3 linked regions of the Arabidopsis thaliana genome follow. The protein of the gene in region 2 interacts with the protein of the main gene of each other region in a biochemical or structural test. Each region holds a gene or a part of one and is shown on either strand. Other genes may lie near its edges. The genes, in order: DCP1, XIK and AT1G08800.

Region 1 (6,594 bases), on a different chromosome or scaffold from region 2:
CCTAACTGATCTTAGGAACTTAATAAAGCTTGTTTTAATTTTGAGGTGCTTTTTAGGGTATTTTCTAATAAATTTATTTGTTTGTGTCAAAAATGAATTAAAGCTTTGAGAGGAACTGGTTGAGGAGAGATTTGAACGTGGTAGGATTTGGGCTGATCGGATGGCTAGCTCCGTCGAGCATTCCAGCGATAAATGGGAAGAGCCTGACGGGTCTCTTCTTCGATAGCATCGGAACTGAGCTCGCTCACTTCCCGACTCCTCCAGCTCTCACTTCACAGTTCTGGTTGTGGTTGGTTACGTGGCACTTAGGCCTCTTCCTCTGCCTCACTTTCGGACAAATCGGATTCAAGGGCAGGACTGAAGATTACTTCTAAGGATAACTATTCTTGTTTTCGTTTGTACTATATGCTCTCTCTTGGTTATGTGTAATATTATCAATCAAAACAAAGCTTTCTTTGCTATTTGATGTTTCATTCTATATCTCGACAAGTCTTTCTTATATGATCTTGATTTTAAGAATGTCTGTCAGTCTAACTAAAGTATTAAATGTTAAAAGCGTTTCTCGAGGGAAAGCTCACAAAAGATTGGGATAATACTTCAAAACGAAACATCACAATACGTCTTTGACTTGAACCATACAAACAGTTTTTGTCTTGCAATCTCGAATCTTTTAAAAAATAGAAAAATTATCTCTCTTTCTTCTTACTCTTTCATGTTTTTTGTATTAATCTTGATGTGTATATGTTCCAATAAACTCTAAACATGCATGAAGATTTGTGAATCTAAAGTCTTTAACATGTCTTTCGACTACGAAACAAAAATTGATGAGGAAAGGTAAAAACTTGAAAGTAGATAAAATGAAAAAGTAATTCCAAGAGTTAAACAAAGGGGGCAGTGCAGTATCTTATAAGGTTCCAACAACACTTTCAGAGGGAACAAAACTACATTTTAACTACACATTCTAGATCAAACAGCCACTATCCCACACGTAGATGCTGACCAGCGCAGCTTCATTGTTGAAGTGCATTTTGTAAAGTTCGGGTAATCTTGTCAATGAATTCATCCTCCTGTCAAAAGCAACTCGTTAGGTTTGCACAGCAGCTCAAATAAAGTGATGTGGTAAAGGACGAACCTGCAACAGGGATAAAAGGGCTTCCTTCACTTTGTCTCTGCTGATAACCGGACCAGTGGGTGCAGGAGCGAGTGATGGTGGTGGAGTTGGGGGTGGGAAAGGCTGGAGCACCGGAGTACCATATGACCGCTGCTGGTGACTCGCATTATTAGGATTGAGAGGAGGAGCAGTGGGCATAGATACACCAGGAATGAGGTGTGGCTGTGCCATCATTCGTGGGGGGCCAAAGAAAGACGGCGTCACCAAATCTGTGTGAATGTTGGAGTTGCTGCTGATAACTTCAGGGTTGTTGTCAAAGAGAGTCATCAGAGGAGAGGAGGATTGTAGAGGCGGTGGTGATTGTATCTGTGGAGGTGCTGCTGCCGCTACAGGAGGAGCAATGGTGGGTTGGTGAGGCTGGTGAGGTTGGTGAGGAATCGCTGATGATTGGTAAGGTCCACTTGCTGACCCACTCGCAGTGTTCCCAAGATTCATCGTTGACTGTCAACAATTTAGATAAATTCAGTGTTACAATTTGAGGAGTCTAAGTTGGACCATATACTACGCTGAAGATAATTCAAGAACCTAGAAGGCTAGAACTAATAGAAAGCCCTCCTGCCATTAGTCGTATAAGATGCTGTCATGGTGAAGATGATAGTGTGAGTGTGTAACAGAAGCTTTAGAAACTTACGCTAAAGAAGTTGACAAAAGCAGGATCATCAGGGGCATCCCTAGCAGTTGATGATGGTTCAAGAGGACCATCCATAACTGCCATTGTAGGCTTAGCTTCCAATTCCTCAAACTCACTGCAGTACATAGAAAATCTAACTTAATTTAACAAGTAAGAGATATAACAGCGGGAAAAATGATTTAGATTATCAAGTTTCCACCTCAAAGAAAACACATCCAAGAAACAACTAATGGTGTACTAACTAAATCTAATCATGAAAATATTACCTCTTTGAAGATGAGGCCTTTGGCTTCTGGTTAACCTTGGAATATGCACTGAGTATTCTGTCATGCCAAGGAACCATTAGGCAGAGATACAACGAGTAAGAGTAATTTCAAGTTCATACAAATATACAAGAACATTATATTTGCCAACAAGTAACTGTCTGATAATAGGCAAATAAAAGACGATATTGATATTATTCATGATCCAACAATTGAAACCAACAGTTTCTACCTGATATGCAGTGACTTATATATACATACCTGTTGAAAAGAGTTGCTACCTCCTCGCATTCACGTTTATTGTAGAACCAAATGCCATTTACTTCTTGAGATGCATTACGGTAAAGTAAATATGGACCTTGTACTTCATACTCAAAATCTCCCAGGAGATTCTCCACCAGATTATCTATCCAGACAAATACAGCAACACACTGATGATTACTAATACTGAATCCTTAAATAAGAACTTGCAATATATTACTAAATCTAAACCTTTTCTAGACACATGACACACACCAACTTTATTTGAATAAATCCTGACCTGTATTACGACGATTCATCACAATAAACTGAAATCGAGGTTGTGTACTTCTGAAAGAAACAAAAAAAAGGATCCAATCAGATTTGAGAAGACGATTAAAGATAAGATACACATAGTTAAAGATCGAAAGTAGTAACCTTTTGACAACAAACAAAGATCCTTCAACGTCCTTACGACTCTGAATGACAAAAGACAGATCAATCATTAGGTAGGGAAGCAAACATCAAATTATGTAATCGAAGATTGATTGAGACTAACCCATTGGCTGAGCTCAATGTTGAATTCATAGAAAGTGACATGAGCGGCTGTGATGAGGATTTCCTCGATGTATGGATCGATCCGCTGGAGAACTGTGAGATTGAGGAGCCTCGTACTGTTTTGGTCCAGATTTGGGATTATCTTCCCGTTTTGAGACATCTTTTATAAATCAAAGATCAGAATTTTGGGAAATCTGGATTCGATTTTACCCTAATCGGAAGAACCCTAGAATTCTGATTTAAGGTAGCTGAGAGATTTGGGGACGGAGACGAAAACGCTAACTTTTGGAACGCACTTCGCTATTTTGTTGTCTGCTTTGGCAAAAAAAAATGGTAATTTAGTTATAAAACTTAAGAGAATAAATATACTGACCATAAAAGCATTAGAGTTTGCTTCAAAAATACATCATTAGAGCTTGCTTAAGAGATTATAAACAACATTAAAGAAGAATATTTATTCAATTGGAGTATAATCAGTGGGTTGATCCTTTTAATTCAAAGATCAATTACTGCATAGTCAATAGAATTTGGTTATGGAACAGTCCACGAGGACAATTTTCAAATTGAAAACGAAAATTTCTGTTTTTATTCACATCTGTGGATTGATTCGTCTTTGAAATAAGCACATCTAATTCAAAGATAATATAAGCTACAAAATCCATTAACCAAAATCACTGCAGTTATTTCAAATTATCCAAACCAAAAGCTAAAGAGGAGAGTAGCAGCACAACTCTTACACTGTTTAACAGATATGTCTGAAACAAAAACGAAAGGGTAAGAAGAAGTGTCTTATAGCCACCAATTTTAAGTAGGTGAAAGCTCAGAAGATTCTTTGTGGTGGTCCCATTGTGCTCTTGAGGTACAAACACCTGACATTTTGCCAGTTCTTCTTCAATAGCGAGACGAGGAAGTTGACGCTCATCTGCACATTCTGAAAGATCTGCTTCTCTTCCATTGAAAGGTTACCAACTGCAACTCCCATGCACAGAACCTTCTTCAGCTGGAACTTCACTGTTGCCTTTGTTTCATTCACCTTTGACTCCAAGGATTCCTGGTGGCTCACAAGAGTTGGGAATTTTCCTGTGTAAAGTAAAGCAAAGGAATGTTACTTAAGAATCATCAAAGAAGCATAATCTCACAGGATAAAGGATTGGCATTGTATCAAAAAGACATTGACAAAAGAAATAGACTACTAAAACCTATCCAAAATCAAAACGGATGTAAAGAAGAACAATGGAATATTAGCTGTAGCCAGAACTTGCCTGCCTTGTTAAGACCAGGACCAAGAAGACGAGGAATCTGCTTAATGACAGACTCAGAGGCCAAGAAAGCATGGTATTTCTTTGCAAGCTTCTTGACGAGTTTCTTGTTCTTGTTAAGCTTTTTTAGAGACTCAACATCCATGTTTTCCAACCCCATCTTCTCAGCCTACGAAAAGATACAAGATGAAATAAGCAAATATTTAATTATGCAAGAAATGAAGCCTAAATAAACAATGACCAAATTCCGAAAACATCATGCATCTACATTCAGAAGACATATACAACATCAAATGAAACTAATAGAGCCACCAAATGAAATGAGCACAAAACCATTATACAAGAAACAGAGCACAAAATGATCAATTTCCATGAAAAGATATATCACCTCTTCAACATGCTGGGCATCTCCGAGCATGCAGATCTTCATTTTAGGACGGGGGATATGTGGTAACTTGACAGATCCACTGAAACGCTTGTCCTTTTGAGGGTCATAGTTCTTCAGACCGATCTGGAGCTCAATAGTCTCGACAAAGTTACGTTTCTTTGCCTCGGATTTCCCTGTGATAGTAGTGATGGCTTCACGAACGGCCTCACTCTGAAGCTTACTGTATTAACCCACAAAGAACAGAGTTAAGCAAATTAACTAAACAAACAAAAATACACAACATTGACAACCTCAACATGAACAACCCACATTATAGACACTACCATACAAAATAATCTTATCTTAATACACCTAAATTTTTATGAGGCAAGATTTAGATTTGTCATCCAAATTTAGAGGCCTTAGTAAAGAGCATTTATGCAAAACTGCAGAACAACTTCGTGTCAATCCTAGACTATTAACATCATAAAGCTATCAATAACGCACATCCAAAAAACAATCACGATTCAGAGACGTATTGTTCTCTAATTAAACTTATTGCATATGACAGAAGAACAATACGTCTCTGAATCACGATTCAGAGACGTATTGTTCTCTAATTAAACAGTGAATGTAAGAGATGCGTCAAGTACCTCATTTTGAGCTTGTCTCAATTTAGCTAAGATCTGATCCTGGAAACGAAACAAAGACAACAAAAAAAAGAATCAAAATCTATAGCAGAAGCTCGAGAAACAAGAATAATCTAATGTACAGTATACATATAAACGAAGAAGAAGAATCAAGCTAGAAGTGAAGCAGTCGTTGAGGCACAAACCTGAGTGACGAGACAGACAGAAGAAACCCTAAATTTCTCGAAAGGCGAAGCCTTTATAGTAAGGATAATGATCAAATAAACTAAACCTAAATGAAATTGGGCCTTTAGAGATAAGGAAAAGCCCAAACTGAAATCAAATGGGCAGCTGAAAACGTGAGACCAACAAAACCAAAAATTACTTGAGCGATCTAACATCCGACTACCGTCTTGGAGACTTTTCTGATGATGGTCTAGTCAAAACCACTCAGTTCGGCTTAAGCCATTCAGGTTTGACTTTGTGCCTCTACGACGTCGTCTTGTGACTTTGTGTTCTCTCTAGCTATGGAATTTTTTTCTTCTTGAGCTGTTGTTAGATTAAGATTTTAGAAGATGACTGCTTCTGGAGCTCTTCTTGTTGCACATATTGATTCGTTTCTTTTGGAACCCAGCAGAAGAAGAGTGCCAATTCATGGCGCAATTTCTGCTTACTGTACTACAAGTCCTACTTGCATTGACCTTCTGGATCGGAATCGGATCAGGCTCGTCGAACCATTATAATGCCGGCGATCATGTCCCTTTGTTCGTCAACAAAGTGGGTCCTCTCCACAATCCGAGGTTGTTCTCAAATTCAAATCTTTTGGTAATTCTTATGCATTTTGCTTTTTATTGGCTTATGATGACGGGTGAGTAATCTAAGAGGAGGAGATCAAGTTAGAGAATGTGTAAGATATGTTTTTGTTCTAGCTTTAGTTTGACCATGGAACTCAAAGATGGCACATTTTCTTAAACCCCATTTTAAAGTTTGGTGTTTTGTTTTGTTTGCAGTGAGACCTATCAATACTATGATTTGCCGTTCTGCCGTCGAGGTTAGGTTTCTCAATGATGTCCTTTTAGTTTTACATTAGGATTTGTATCTGTCCCTAGTTTCGGTCTTTTGATTTAGGATTGTTTTATATTTTGTAGGGCCTGTGATTGAGAAACAGGAAACTCTTGGGGAAGTTCTTAATGGTGATCGTTTAATGAGCTCTTTATATAAGCTGAAATTTAGGGAGGACAAAACTCATTTTGTATTGTGCCGGAAGAGATTAACATCGAGTGATATTGCCAGGTTCAGAGATATTATTGCTCAAGATTACTACTTTCAAATGTACTACGATGATCTCCCTTTGTGGGGATTTGTTGGAAAAGTAGAGGGAGATTATTTTGGTCAAGGGGAGAAGCATACTAAGTATTATATATTCAGTCACTTAAAGTTCAATGTTCTGTACAATGCAGACAAAGTTATTGAGAT
Region 2 (6,331 bases):
TCCACTAGTCTTAGCTACTCTCTATTTATCCCCCAAACAGTACAATGCACTTAAAGTTTGTGTGTTGTTCAGATAAGTTATTTGTAGCATGTCCAGATTTGATTCCTCAACCCAATTTGTATAACTCAGAATGTGGTCTTTGATAAGATACGTTTAAAAGGCAAGATCAAGCTGTCACAAGGTCATGATCAAGCTGCAGAACACAATACAAATGGAAATTGAATTGCTTACACCTAAGCATCACAGAGAGTGTTATCAATTCTTCCAACTATATATAACCTAGAGTTCAGCTTCTTTGTTCCCGGAAACACCAAGAAGCTTGGCGAGTTCACCGCTCTCATACGCATCTACGGTATCTATAACCAGAAACAAAGATAAATCTATCGATCAGCAAATGTTGGCATAAGCAAAGACGTTTTGTTGAAGGAAAAGGAGTGTTAAGTATACCATCTGATCCTCCGAGATGTTTTCCGTTAATGAAGACTTGCGGTACTGTTCGCCTTCCAACAATCTCTCCAAGTGCAGTCTGGATGCTCCAACCATCTTCTGCAAGACCAAATTTTTACCAACCATTAGTCACAAATGAATCTTCTACATAGTGATCGGACAAAGTTTCAAATGACAGAAATGTCTGAGAGCTAAGAAACATTGTTGGATGATGAAGACATGATTCCCTTTAACCTTAAAACACACCTCTTTCATCAAGCTCGACAACATAAGGAACTTGATCCAGCTCTCTGAACACTGATTTAGCTTTCTTGCAGTAGCTGTTGACCAAACCACAAGGAAGCAAAGGAAAAGTAGAGATGAGTCATATACATAGGTACATGATCTCTCTACACAACTCAATTAAGGCCAAAGGAAAAGCAAAGAGAACAAATACTGAGAACTGAACCTGAATATATCTTAAACGAAAATCCATATTGATTTCAACCACCATTTGTAAACAGAGATAACAAAGTTGTCTCATAAAAATCCAAATCTAACGAATACAAGTTCATTGGGTTCAAGTTTTCACTCATATTTCAGATATTAAGATCTAAAAAACAAAATCGCAAATTGAAGTCACCCAAGATCCAATTTTTCTGCGAATCGGATAAAAAGTGATTAAACATGAGCAGAGAAAGAGACATACGGGCAGTAGGATTTGGAGAAAATGACGATCTTATGGGAAGAGATAGTCTTCTTAACAAAGTCGGCTTCTGGGGACGAAGCAGCAGAAGAAACCATAGAAATGAATGTAACTAGTGCGACGAGCAGCATTACCATGGAGATAGATCTAAACATTGTCATGGCTCCTTTCTTCTTCTTCTTCTTCTTCAGATGCCAATTGAAGACGATGACTTGCAGGATCGATACTGTGGAAAGTAGGTGTAGGTGTGTTGTGGCGGGTACGGTTTAACCCGGCCCATCTAAATAAGGGTCGTATTAAAGCCCAAAATCAAGGTTATTGTTTCAGCCCAACCACTATTACATAAATTGGGTGAACTTAACAAAAACAATTATTTTTTACTGGGCTTCAAAAACATAGAACATTTTTGGAGTATAAAGGATGATAATGATAATGACATGACCAAAGCTGGTATTAGACGTCTTAACACTATCTTGCGGGTTCAATTTGATTTCCGCTAAACTAAGAAAATCATACATCATCCCAAAACCTAAAATTAATATTTGTGTCACATCAATTTTGAATATATGAGTCAAATCATTTGTAAACATTCTTCACAAGTTATATCCTATATTTTTTATAAAAGAGAATTTCAAAAACAGAAACGCTCGTAAGAATTTTAAAATATTTCCACATCTAACCAATCCACTAACGAAGACAAATTAGCCATAATTTACTAGTCTTAATTAAAACAAAAAAGGGGATAAAAGTGTAAAAATGAGCAATTCAAAGGGCAGAGACAAAAACAAAAGATGTAGTAATGTTTTTTTTATTTACGAAACAATCTTTGTTGTTGTCTGTGTGTAGACTCAAAGAGTGTTGTGGGTGGCTGACCACGAATGTGAATGTCCAACTCGATCCACCTCCCTTCTCCTCATTGGACCCCACTTGACCAATCTCAATTCTCAAGCACCAACATTTTTTTTGTTTGAAAACAATACACAAATAATAATTAAGAAAAAAAAGTGTTAGAGAGAGAAAGACACACAGCTCAAAAGAGAACATTGTTGTTGCTCGAGGAGAGAGAAAAACAAAAAAAAAAGCCATTAGAGAACGTCGTCTGCAAAGAAAGAAGAAGGCCAAGTCTAGCTTTCTTTCATTCTGCTTCTTCAACAATCAATCAGCTTTCTTGAGAGAGATTAAAAAATTCATTCAGATTCAGCTTTTTGAAAAGAATTTTGGCTCCGTTAATTCCGATCTCCCGATTTCTCCGTGTCTGCTTTGAGCTGACTTCAAGGAGAATTTTTCTCAGACACACCAACTCGAGAGAATCTGCCCGATCTGACTCGTCTTGTTGCCTGACTCGCTGAGTCAGCTTTCTGCAAAATCGGTCTCTCTTGGATGAGTTAACTGGGAAAAAGAGAGAGGATCTATTGGAAAAAAAGGAGTAGCCATGGTAAAATCATAGATATCATCATCCTCGTCGTTTTATTCAATTGCTTATTGTATTTTCTCAAATGGGTTTATGTTGGATTTAAATCAATTAAACGGATTCATTTTTAACACTTGTCCGATTTGGTGTTCGTTAGTAGAGATATCTTTGTATGAGGTTTGCGTTTTGTTTTCGATCCCTAGTTCGTCTTCCCATTAACACGAGAGATTCTCAATCCAACTATAGTAGAAAAGTTGAATTTTGTTATTTTGGGGAACATTATACAGTGTTATTGAAAGGTAAGGGTCAAGAGTTCTATAACAAGTTGAAGTTGGACCATTTCAGTTATCTTAAATTTCATTTCGTGGACTTATCATTTCCTATTAACATTTCACTTAGCGGCTCTCACCATTTTGGATTACTTCTATTATTAGTAACGAGGTTATGTAAGCTTCTATGTTAGATTACTGTCCCTTTATATATATGTTTCATCAGGAAACTTCTTCAGGTGAGACCATTTTTTTTTTATATACCTAAGTTTTATTTGATATAAAGGCTGAAGATTTAGTTTCCAGAATGAAGGAAACTGAGGGAAATGCGCAGTGTTATGCTATCTTTGTTGTGTTTCTAAGTGAGTGTTGTCTCTAGATTATAGGCAGTGTTATTGTCCTGGTTTTGCGGGAAATTTTAATCTATAACATTAGTTACTTTCGGTTTAGGTTCGTATGTCTGGTGCCATCTATTTCAACTGCTTGAACTGATGATATTTGGTATTTGAAAGAGGAACTTATGTAACAGCTTGTGTGAGGTTATTAAAATCTTTGTACCTCACGTCTTCAATATTTGTATCTTTTGTAGGTTGGCCCAGTCAATATAATAGTTGGTTCTCATGTTTGGATTGAAGATCCTGGAGCGGCATGGATTGATGGTGAAGTTGTCAAAATTAATGGCGAAGAAGTTCATGCACATACCACAAATGGGAAGACCGTAAGTTGTCTATCCTCCTCCCATGCTTTTGCATGTAAATTTCCTTTTGAGAAATAATGTCACTGGAATGAATAGGGTGTTTCTGCTTAGGGTGTCTGTTTAACTTTGAACAAAATGTCACTAGTCCTCTAACCCCTTTCCCTGTGGATACCGTGTTACTCCTCTAACATATGAGTTTTGCATGACATTGACATCCCTATTTCATAATTATATTATACAATCATTGAAACCAGATTATGTATCAATCAATCAATCAAATTTAATTTCAGGTTGTGGCCAATATCGCAAACGTATTTCCAAAGGATACAGAGGCTCCCCCTGGGGGTGTTGATGACATGACAAAGCTCTCATATTTACATGAACCAGGTGTTTTGAATAACTTGGCCATGAGATATGAGTTGAACGAAATTTATGTAAGTTGTTATTCATTTTCTGCACTGATTACTTATGAAATCACTTACTGAGTTCCTAAGCAGTAGAAAACATTCCTAAATATTTCCGTTAAAATATGTTCGCAGACATATACTGGTAACATCTTGATTGCTGTAAATCCGTTTCAAAGGTTACCACATCTCTATGATACTCATATGATGGAGCAGTACAAAGGAGCAGGCTTTGGGGAACTAAGCCCCCATGTGTTTGCCATTGCAGAAGTTGCTTACAGGTTATTAATCCCAATCAATGATCCACTAGCAGAAATTCTCGTAGTCACTCTTTATTCATACATTTCTCATGCTAGTCTATTCTCTTTTGCTTCTCTGGGTAGGGCAATGATAAATGAGGGCAAGAGCAACTCAATTCTGGTAAGTGGGGAAAGTGGTGCTGGTAAGACTGAGACAACAAAGATGCTTATGCGCTACCTTGCTTACCTTGGTGGTCGATCCGGCGTTGAAGGAAGGACAGTGGAACAGCAAGTTCTGGAGGTGAGGCTTCAAAAAAATATGTTTCTTTTATCTTGGCTTTGAAGCTTGTCATGGAGAAGAGTCTAAGCCTTTACACAGATACTTTTAGTTACTGCATTGATATGTTTATAGAGAGGCTTGTAATGCTAGCCTGATTCACTATTTTGGTTTTATTGATGGTATACAGTCAAATCCAGTTCTTGAAGCTTTTGGCAACGCTAAAACTCTCAGGAATAACAACTCCAGGTACGTATGCGTATGTTCACTTAGAGGTTTTCCTTTGGATCTTTCTCTTGAAAAGTTGTCATTAGTTGCACAGTCAAAGTTGTTTTTGGCTCAAAGCTTCCTCAGTCACCACTTGTCACAATTTTGTTTTCTAACTATATAACAAACCCCAAGGCATCAACTGCACTGATGGTACATAAGAAAAATTAATCACATATAAACTATGCTAATCTCTTGGCCTTTTTTATCGGTAAAGTTAGAGAGTAATCAACTCAATAGTAATACTTTTGTACGTGATTGATTATTGTACTATAGAGTTATTTTAAGCTTCAAGGCAGATATCCTCATTGTAACTTTTATTTTCAATCAAAATGCAGTCGATTTGGAAAGTTTGTCGAGCTTCAGTTTGACAACTGTGGGAGAATATCTGGAGCAGCTGTGCGAACATATTTGTTGGAAAGGTCTCGAGTGTGTCAAATATCAGATCCTGAAAGAAATTACCACTGCTTTTACCTTTTATGTGCTGCCCCACCTGAGGTATTGGTGCTACACAATGATGCCAATATACCTTATTGTTAGGCGTTCTGCTTTAAATCACATGATTAAGTGGTTGTGGATTTCATTTATTTTCCCAATCTGTAGGAAAGAGAAAAGTTCAAGTTGGGAGATCCTAAGTTATTCCACTACCTAAATCAATCGAAGTGCTATAAACTGGATGGAGTGGATGACACCGAGGAGTATCTTGCTACCCGACGAGCTATGGATATTGTTGGCATCAGTGAAGAGGAACAGGTCAGTCTTCCATTTACTCCTTTTCCAACAAGAAATGATTTCTCTGGTAGAGCATCTTATTGACCATTCTGATAATTGCTATCAGGATGCAATATTTAGAGTTGTTGCTGCAATCCTTCATCTAGGTAATGTCAATTTTGCAAAAGGAAAAGAGATTGACTCCTCAGTTTTGAAGGATGAGAAATCAAGATATCATCTTGATGTATGTGCTGAACTTCTTAGGTATGTGCAACTTACTTGTTTAATCTCGATTTCTATTTTGTTTCCTTTTTACATCTTTGATCGTGGACTCACTTCTTTCAAAAGGTGTGATGCAAAGAAAATGGAAGATGCATTGATAAAACGTGTAATGGTGACACCAGAAGAGGTTATTACAAGAACACTTGATCCTGATTCAGCCACGGGTAGCAGGGATGCGTTAGCAAAAACTATCTATTCACGCTTGTTTGATTGGTATAAAAAAACTTTCTCTCTATAGACTTTCCAGTTCTTATGTTTTATTTGTTTTCTGGTTTCACTTAGTTCACTCTTCTATAGAGGGCATGTTTCACTTTGAAATGTGTTCAATTACTTTATGGAAATATTTCAGTTCATCTGCCACTTGAAGTTTTGCAACTTTTTAAAACCCGTATAATTTGTTTTCAGGCTTGTTGACAAAATTAACAATTCCATCGGGCAAGATCCGAATTCTAAGACAATTATTGGTGTTCTTGATATCTATGGGTTTGAAAGCTTTAAGATCAACAGGTAAAGTTTATGGCTTACAGAATGATTTCTTCTTCTGTAATATTGTTAAAGGTCTACTGATTTCTATGTATTTTTTCTCAGCTTTGAGCAGTTTTGCATCAATTTTACCAATGAAAAGCTGCAACAACATTTCAA
Region 3 (9,067 bases), on a different chromosome or scaffold from region 2:
AACAAAACCTATATCAAGTAAGAGTTAGTTATTCCAACAAAAACCACCAAGGTTTGTTTTTGGATTCTGTCTCCATAATCAATCAAGCTCCAGAATCTCCCCAGGGAATTAACAGAGAGATCCCTTTAAAAATGGCAAATGGAAATTCTACAAACCCTACTTTTAAACAACACCAAATGTGTGGTAGAAGAAACTCATTGTTTCTGTGTTTTGTAATATCACACCATTAAAGTTCACCAGAAAACATATCTCCTTCTGTACATTAATAAAATAAACCAAACAGAAAAAACTTCTTACCCCTTTTCTTCTTCCGGGATGAACATTTTTTAAAGGGAATCAGAGTTCTGGGATTTTCACTAATCTATTCAAGTTCTTCTGTTTTTCCTCGCTTACATGAGCTAACTTGTACAACAAGGCACATCATCACAAAAATATTCTGCCCCTTGTTGATAATCATAAACGTGCCTGCGATTTCTTATATTAACAACAGAGAAAGATGGTGAGGGTTGGAGAAGCATTGAGTGTATCAACCTCATCGTCGTCATCTTTCTACGACAGCGAAGTAGAAGAGCTTCAAAAGATGCCATTGGAACCACCGAAAGCTAAGGCTAAGAAACGTCTCTCGAAGCAACTCTCCATGTTAGAGACCCGTAGAGACATCGCATGGGAGCGTCGCCGTCGCCAGATGCTCCATCACCTTGAGAAGCATAACGAAGGAGGAGATGACTTGACGGACGAGGACTTGAGTGAGCTCAAAGGATCTATTGAGTTAGGGTTCGGGTTTAACGAGGAGCAAGGGCAACATCTTACAACTACATTGCCTGCATTGGACCTTTACTTCGCTGTGACTCGTCAGATCTCGCCGGTTTCTACACCAGGCAGTGGTGGATCTTCTTCATCCTCCCGTCCTACTTCCCTCGGAGACCGATCTTCCTCTTTTGGTAGTCCAATAAGCGACTCTGATTCTTTGAAGGTTATGTCTCCAGGTAACATAGCAACCTAAACTTTTTCGTCAGATTGATATTTTCATAATATGATTGTGTTTTGATGTTATATTCTATAAATTTGCAGGAGATGATCCTCAACAGGTTAAAACGAGACTGAGGCATTGGGCACAAGCTGTGGCATGTTCTGTGATACAATCTTCCAATTAAGCATAGAAGTGAGAGATGTACAAGAGTGGGACATGAATGATACTACACAAATTTGGTTGAGACAAAGGAAGTGTTGTAGAAATTAAGGAAGCTTAAGACAGATTAATTAAGGAGTTGGTTAAGACAGAGGAGGACGGATTATTGAAGTTCAAACTAAAAGAAGAAATAAGAATGATGCATGGTGGTCTTACATGTTATTATTCTTGAACCCTTTTTTTTTTCGCCAAAGACAGTTTTTAATTTTTTAGATATCACTACTTTAACAGTAAGAAAATATTTTAGATATTAGGTTTTGGCTTCTCTTCCTCTTTTAATTGTCTTTTGTAAGTTTGTATTATGCGTATCAACCTTCTTGTTATTTTCCAAATTCGAGGTCCTAACACCAACAAAGAAATATGAGTTTAACAAAGGACATTACGTATAAGTAGTTTATAACGAAGAAATGTACAACAAGTTTAACAAAGTTGCATGACTTTTGACATGCTAAACAAAAGTATCAACCAACCTAATAAAAAAAATCAAATGAGAACTTCAGAACAAAACCTACATTCACTCTTCACTCAAAACTAGAAGAAAAATGCAAAATAAACACAAAGAATATGAAAACCCATAAGGAAATTATGAACACCAAACCCAAAAATGAAATCGTAAAGAATTCTGAGATTATCGTATACGAAAGGGGAAGGCAATGAAGACGATGCTATACAGTTTCTTTAAGCTTCTTGAATCTTGAACTTCTTTTAGTTTCCTCTACAATATCCTCTCCACAAAGGTGTCTAACATATTAAAAAACCAGAACGACATATGAATAATAAGATGTTTGTACAAAGAGCTATAATTTCCGCAGGTGAAGTTATCTGAAGAACAAAATCAACACAACAATCAGGGAAGAGGAAAGAACATACCTTTGTGAAGATTGTTACTCAGGACATCAACACTCAGTCTGATCTTGTCTTTTCATGCTGAGACTCCGCAGAGTTTGCAAATGAGAAGCTATTTCCTTTACAAATTGCACGCCTTCATTTCCATGGCCAAGAGAATTCATAACTTGTTCTAGGAAGTATAAGTCTCCCTTCAGCCTTTCTACTCTCTCATGTAGCTCAGAAACAGATTCTTGTGCTGGTAGATTATCGTCATGAGCCTTGCCATTTACTCTGTTTTCAATCTTCTCCAGACAACTGGTGATGTATAATCTCTCTTCGTCGAACCCAACTAAACAACTCTGTATCTTGTTGCTCATTCCCTCACTAGGGGAATCCATCTCGGTCACTTTTTCTGCAACATCTAGCTTATTCTTCTTCTGAGGGGTCTGGTCCCGGAAGTATTCAATCTCAGCTTCTAAATCTTGTATTAGTTTTTCTCTCTCAACAAGTAAATCATTCAGTCTCTGTATTGCTTCCATATCGTACTCTGCTTGCTCCTCCATCATCCTCAGGTTCTGCAAAGCCTCCATTTGGAATGACGCCTTCTCTTCCTGCAACCTCGTTATCATAGCCATTGCTTGATTTGTAGCAACCGCTGAAGCGCTTCTTTCTTCCTCCAATTCTTTATATAAACCAGTCAGCAGTTTCCTATCATAATCAACCTGTCTTTTCAACCGATCACCCTCACTTTCACCCTCGATTTCAGTCACAGAAACTCCTTCCAACGATAAGTTACTCTCGTTCCTTTCAAGCATTCTCTTTTGAAGTAGCAGCTGCATATCATGATCTAGGTTCTTTGTCTCTTGATCGCTACTGTTAACAGAAATCTTGGGGCTTACATCTCTAGGTGACAAAAACTCTATCCCACGAGAAGCTGATATTTGAGTAAGAAGTGCTTTAAGGTCTTCGCTAACTCTAGACGTATCTTTCTTCATCCAATTCTCTATTTGTTGTCTTCCATTACTATCATAGTGACCTTCGTTTCCTACAACGATATTGTATGCATCTGCAAGATCCAGTAATTCACCTGAATATTGGTTTGTTTCTGCTGCCACTGACATTGAGTTGAAGGAAGAAGATTCTGACTCAAGAGCTGCTTCTGTGTGAGAAGTGACGTCCCGTGGAGCCATTTCAGACAATGAAGAGATCCTAAGAGATGTCTCTTTCATTTCCTTTTTATCTGATACACCTGATATGAAAATTCATTTTCTTTATCAGAAACCCATACCTACTAGTGTATAATTTAAGCACTATATATCTTTAATTTACAGTTCATAGCCATCATACATGCAAAGCTGGAGAAGAAAACACATAAGAGTCTTGCATTTAAATGGAAGTTTAAACTTACAATTATCGGTTGAATTTTCAGGCATGGAATTTGGAGATGGTACAACTATATATTCAGATTCCAGAGAGGTAATATCAGCTTGGTCAGTGTCCCTCTCCTTTGAAATCTCAACAGAGGTTTGATTTGTAGTGACTGATTCAGAAACCTCGTCTAGAGATATATCATGGATTGACATAAGTTCAATTCCCTCTAAGACATCTTCAGGAGTTTCAGCAACCTCTGATGTTGAAGTAACATCATTGAGGCAAATAAGCTCAGTTTCTTCCCTTAAGGAGGAATTTGCCGGATTTTCCATAAAATCCTGTGTTAATGTAATATTTTGGTGGCGAACCAGCTCTTCTTTCTCCTCTATAAAAACTGTGGAATGTTCCATGGCGCGTGATGGTGAAGTAACATCATTGAGGCAGATAAGCTCAGTCTCCTCCACTAAGAAGGTACTTGCAGGATTTTCCTTAAAATCTGGTGTTAAAGAACTATCTTGGAAGCGAATCGGCTCTTCATTCTCCTTTAAAACAACTGAAGAATGTCCCATGGTGCGTGATGTTGAAGTAACATCATTGACGCAAATAAGCTCAGTCTCTTCCAATATGGAGGCATTTGCAGAATTTTCCATAAAATCTGGTGTTAAAGAACCACCATCTTGGAGGCGAATCGGCTCTACTTTATCCTTTAAAAGAACTGCAGAATGTTCCACGGCGCGTAATGGTGAAGTAACATCATTGAGACAGATAAGCTCAGTCTCCTCCAATAAGGAGGCATTTGCAGGATTTTCCTTAAAATCTGGTGTTACAGAAATATCTTGGAGGTGAATCAGTTCTTCTCTTTCCTTTAGAATAACTTCAGAATGTTCCATGGCGCCTGATGTTGCAGTAACATCACTGAGACAAATAAGCTCAGTCTCCTCCATCAAGGAGGCATTTGCAGGATTTTCCTTAACATCTGGTGTTGAGGAAATATCTTGGAGGCGAATCGGCTCTTCTTTCACCTTTGCAGCTGCAAAATGTTTCATGGCGCGTGATGTTAAGAAAAGATTATCTAATGAATTGATCTCTTCCTCCTTGAACACCTTCTCTGATGTTTCAGGCACATCATTAACTGGAATAAGCACAGGAAATGAGGAATAAGTCCTCCAATTGGTCTCTTGCAACTGAACTTCCTCTCGGTCATTTCGAGTCACGAAGGGCTCCAAAGGGAAATCAAAGTTTAGCAGCTTGTCGGTAGCCAAATCATAAGGCAAGGTGATAATCGGATGAGTCTGAAGATCCACTATTTGATACTTATGATCCTCATCTTTAAGGACGACACATTCATCTTCTGAGAATACAGCTTCTGATTCAGTATCTGAATGAATCTTGAGCTCAGTGTACCCAACATCAGGCAAATGATTAAAGCTGACACTCTTCTTGGGTGTAGATGGTTTCCCGGTTCTCACATCACCAACCAAACCAATCTTGGGCTCATTGTACCCAACAGGTGGCAAATGGTTAAGTGAAGATTCTTGCTTTGGTTCAGTATCTGAAAACACAGCCTCTGATTCAGTATCTGAATGAATCTTTAGCTCAGTGTACCCAACATCAGGCAAATGATTGAAGCTGACACTTTTCTTGGGCGCAGACTGCTTCCCGGTTCTTATTTTACCAAGCAAACCAATCTTGGGTAGAATTTCCCGTTCAGCCACCTGAGTAGCAGCGGTTTGAGGCGTCCACAACTGATTACAACATGTACAATCTGTAAGCTTAGAGCAATTTGGATATTTGCTTCGATCACTCTTGGATCCGAAGTGAGAATCTTCACCCAGTTTACCAACCAACAATCTGTAAGTTTCAGCATTGGACTTATTGGTTGTAGCAAACGAGAAAAGACAAGTCTCACACATTCCACGGACATCAACAAGCTTGCCGTGAGCATGACAGTAAACCAATGAAGAGATCTCTGATTTGTGTTTAGAGCAAATAATATCCCAATGAGTTTTCTTCAAATCTTTTGTCCTCCTGAGAATATGATCAAGATTTGAGCACATCAGACATGGAGATTGAAGCTCAGAGTAATCTGCAAACCTCGCGATCACGTAAGAGAATATGGAGTTAACGAAGAGCATGAACATCAGTAGCCACTCATTAAAGGCTAATGCCAAAGCTCTAGTGAAACTCCGTGAACCCATCTGTAATTTTACTGCAGACGTTTGTCTAGTAGCCAACTCTTTGCAGAAACATAAGATCAAGAATCAATCAGGCTTCAAATCTGCATCAATGTAGATACACATCAAACAATTAGTAAAGAGTACAAAAATATGAGAAAAATATTGAATCAATAACATCAAGATTCTACTCAGAAAATATAATGAGACTAAAGTTGATAAAGAGATTTGAGATAATGAAACAAACTTGATTCGTGCAGAAAAGACAACTAATATCCAGAATCCAATCCGATTTACAAATGATATTTGCAGATTTGGGACAAACAGAAGCAAGAACAGAAAAGTTGACCAAAACAAGATAAAGCTTACGTTTTTATTTAGCCTTCTTAATAGTGTTTATCTCCAGAGTACAGGAAGATCAAATATTTATCTCAAGTCAGCAATTGAAGCAAAAATAAATTCCAACAAAGATTTTAAACCACTCTAAATCAAAAGTTTGCCACAAAAAGGAAAAGAGATCTAAAAAGAACAATTGACAGCTCAACAAAATCAGAATTAGAATTGTGTGTAGAAGAAATACTAAATGGATCAATCATACGATCAAGACCCACAATATTTTATATGATCCAACTAAATATAAGCGCTGTTATAGAAAAATCTAACCTTTTGATCATGATGATCGCCAGAGTAAGTCTCAATTACAGAGTAGAAAGTGAAAATCCAAAATCTAGCAAAGTTGTGATTTTTGAGGGAGAGCTTCACAGAGAACATTGATCCCATTTATATATTTTTAAAAAACTCAAAAGGCAGACCCAGCAAGGACTGCACGTAGTCTTCACAACTAAAATCACTTAATTTTAAAATTAATAAAATTCTTTGTGAGAGACATTGAATGAGAGAGATCTATTTTATTGACCAAACCAGGGAAAACAAAAAGATTAACATAACAGACTTAAAAAAAAGTCTTAATATTGGTACTACTAGTCCTTAAATAACATTTTATAATTATTAGTCTTCACAATTAAATCACTTAGTTTTATTTTCCTTTCCGAATAATTATAAAATGTTAGGCAAAAGATTGAAAACTAAGATGGTGAGATGTGGAGAGAGACAGGAAAGTCGGCTACTGATTACAAAAACGGCTGCCGAAAGTTGCAATTTGAGTGTGGGAACTATTTTTTTTATTTCAAAAAGAAAAATAAAATAAAATACAAAAATTATATTTTTTTTATTAGAGTAGTTGAATGAATATAATCAGATTTGAGTTTTTAATTAACTGTTTTTGATTTGTATTCAATTTTTGTATCTGTTTTTGCCTTTTTGGACGGAAAAAAATAGTAGAACCCACCAAAAGTTTTGGCTGTGTTGTGTGCTTCCATCTTCTCTTGTTGCTCATATTTGACTTGCATTTGATTGTTAATTATTATTTAGATTAGGAACCGTAAACAATAGCTTTATTTGGTTGTCCACTGCTTACATTACCAAGAGCTCAAACGTCATAATTAAGGGCCATGGATGTATTTAATAACTTTGCATGAAGAATGATAAACGGAACAAGGATAATGTGTATATTTATTATATTAACGCCATTTTCAAGTGATCGTTACGTTTGGCTTCATCTCTTTCATTTACACTTATCAATCCTTAATTAGTTATGGAGGTCCTACATTTCTCCATTCATTATTGTTTCTCATTTCTTAAAATATAAAGATCACACATTTTTGTGTATGAATAAAGCTTTTAATACTTCTCTCATTCATCTTGTTTTTATGGACTAAAAGGCAACACGAGTTCCCAAATATATTAACGCATCCCATTAACGTTTCTCGAATTGATGTGATTTGCGAGCAAAAACTCTCTTAGACCTACACCATTCTTAAGCATGAGGGTTTAATGCATATTAGCTTTGAATTGATATTTTCCTGAATTTGTAGATTCGACTTGGTAGATTCTAAAGATGAAGTATAGATATCATGTATTTGTAAAAGAAATTTGAATAGTATTACAAGTCTTAAATTGGATTTTATTCATGTAAATGGGTAGACAACTTTAGATTAGTTACAACTTATGCAGTGAGCATTTTAGCTACTTATATCTTAGAGAAACCAAAAAACAACACATGATATTATGTCTTTCTGGTTTCTTTATTTGTGTATATAAAATTAGTAGTCTCATTTATAAGATTCACAAGGATAAAGAAAAAATAAAGGAGAAAATGTCACAATTAAAGCATATTAGAGAGCTCCATCAAGTGGCTCATCTCTTCCATTTGACCCCCAGTAGTACTTGTTTCCTCCAAAAGCCATTTCTCAATAAATGTCAATGGTGGTGTAGCATTATGATCATCATCATCCTCATGATCACCATCTTCATGATGAACATCATCACCGTTGTTATTCTCTGAATTCTTTATACCCTGGTCATCATCCCCGTTGATTCCTTTGCTATGACCCTCTTCCCAAGAACCTTGAAGCTGCTCGTATGGAAACTGATCGCTGTGATGATCGATGAAATTGTTTGTCCGGTTCTGCATTTTGTGTTCCAAGAAAGTAGTACTTGTACTACTCTTTGGAGACGCTCTCATCCAACCCTCAAGAAGGCGGGAAATGTTTTCGGTGCTTGAAGCATAGGTAGATCTATGATTAATGGTGTTTCTTGTCGAAGAAGTTTGCAGCGCAATGTTCTCTGATCTGCTCCTCTCATCACTGTCAGACTTGTTGAGCTTCTTCTTTAAATGTGTGTTCCAGTAGTTCTTGATATCATTGTCCGTTCTTTGTGGTAGGTATGAAGCTATGGACGCCCATCTTACCACAACCATATGTAAACAAATAAGCCAGTTTAGGGTTCACATCATCAAAATATATACACAAAACATTCAAGTATAAAGAGATGTAGATCCTTTTGTCTGAGATTACTTGTTACCCAATAAGGCTTGCAAGTGAATGATCATTCCTTCTTCATGAGGAGTAAAGTTTCCACGTTTAATTCCAGGTCTCAGATAATTTGTCCATCTCAGTCTACAACTTTTGCTGCATCTCAATAACCCTTTTAAAAGCCAAATTAAGATACAAACATCAGGACACATATACAAACAAAGAAAAGAAAGACACTAGAAGAAAACATGTTGAGAAAAGATAATGACCAGTGTTGGTGGGAACTGATCTCCAGTTTCCAGGACCATGTTCTTGAATGTAAGAAACAAGAATGATATCTTCTTCAGGAGTCCATGGTCCTTTCTTGATCCCTATCTTGTCACAGCATGGAGGCCTACCCATCTTTCTCTCTCTCTCTTCCTCTAGATCTCTCTGAGTCTTATGCTCTCTTTATAGATGTGAGAATATGTATGTATATGAGTTAAATGCAACATGTATGTACATATATGTGAAATTAATGGGTGACTTAAAGAAGAGGGAAGAACTTTTAAATCTGCTTTTTCTTGACAACCTCTTTTGGATCTGCCAAGCTCACGAGTCACTCTGCCTTTTCCATTAACTATTTTGCGTAG

What was found.
Region 1: the proteins of XIK (region 2) and DCP1 form a complex in vitro, tested with the Arabidopsis thaliana proteins (one study listed by BioGRID).
Region 3: the proteins of XIK (region 2) and AT1G08800 form a complex in vitro, tested with the Arabidopsis thaliana proteins (one study listed by BioGRID).

What each region holds. Positions count from the first base shown.
Region 1 is NC_003070.9:2,634,784-2,641,377, reverse strand, and holds DCP1 (decapping 1), read right to left. Parts: upstream 3,342-6,594; 5' UTR 3,024-3,341; coding exon 2,865-3,023; intron 2,785-2,864; coding exon 2,744-2,784; intron 2,657-2,743; coding exon 2,607-2,656; intron 2,472-2,606; coding exon 2,327-2,471; intron 2,126-2,326; coding exon 2,069-2,125; intron 1,918-2,068; coding exon 1,803-1,917; intron 1,613-1,802; coding exon 1,133-1,612; intron 1,068-1,132; coding exon 1,011-1,067; 3' UTR 715-1,010; downstream 1-714. Other genes in the region: PSAO (photosystem I subunit O), read left to right, coding at 104-374; AT1G08360 (Ribosomal protein L1p/L10e family), read right to left, coding at 3,684-3,943, 4,126-4,291, 4,511-4,730, 5,143-5,147; AT1G08350 (Endomembrane protein 70 protein family), read left to right, coding at 5,773-5,918, 6,129-6,169, 6,267-6,594.
Region 2 is NC_003076.8:6,933,614-6,939,944, reverse strand, and holds the start of XIK (myosin family protein with Dil), read left to right. Parts: upstream 1-2,114; 5' UTR 2,115-2,564; coding exon 2,565-2,567; intron 2,568-3,380; exon of another isoform or gene 3,381-3,401; coding exon 3,402-3,530; intron 3,531-3,799; coding exon 3,800-3,943; intron 3,944-4,048; coding exon 4,049-4,194; intron 4,195-4,296; coding exon 4,297-4,453; intron 4,454-4,619; coding exon 4,620-4,678; intron 4,679-5,034; coding exon 5,035-5,194; intron 5,195-5,299; coding exon 5,300-5,449; intron 5,450-5,534; coding exon 5,535-5,671; intron 5,672-5,755; coding exon 5,756-5,902; intron 5,903-6,094; coding exon 6,095-6,196; intron 6,197-6,277; coding exon 6,278-6,331. Other genes in the region: AT5G20500 (Glutaredoxin family protein), read right to left, coding at 280-356, 448-546, 694-767, 1,136-1,293. UniProt on the Arabidopsis thaliana protein: Myosin heavy chain that is required for the cell cycle-regulated transport of various organelles and proteins for their segregation.
Region 3 is NC_003070.9:2,811,493-2,820,559, forward strand, and holds AT1G08800 (myosin-binding protein (Protein of unknown function, DUF593)), read right to left. Parts: upstream 6,580-9,067; 5' UTR 6,226-6,579; intron 6,148-6,225; exon of another isoform or gene 5,932-6,147; intron 5,667-5,931; 5' UTR 5,587-5,666; coding exon 3,426-5,586; intron 3,267-3,425; coding exon 2,086-3,266; 3' UTR 1,326-2,085; downstream 1-1,325. Other genes in the region: AT1G08790 (1-phosphatidylinositol-4,5-bisphosphate phosphodiesterase epsilon-1, putative (DUF1685)), read left to right, coding at 497-986, 1,072-1,154; MYB60 (myb domain protein 60), read right to left, coding at 7,787-8,366, 8,478-8,607, 8,705-8,837. UniProt on the Arabidopsis thaliana protein: Membrane-anchored myosin receptors that define a distinct, plant-specific transport vesicle compartment.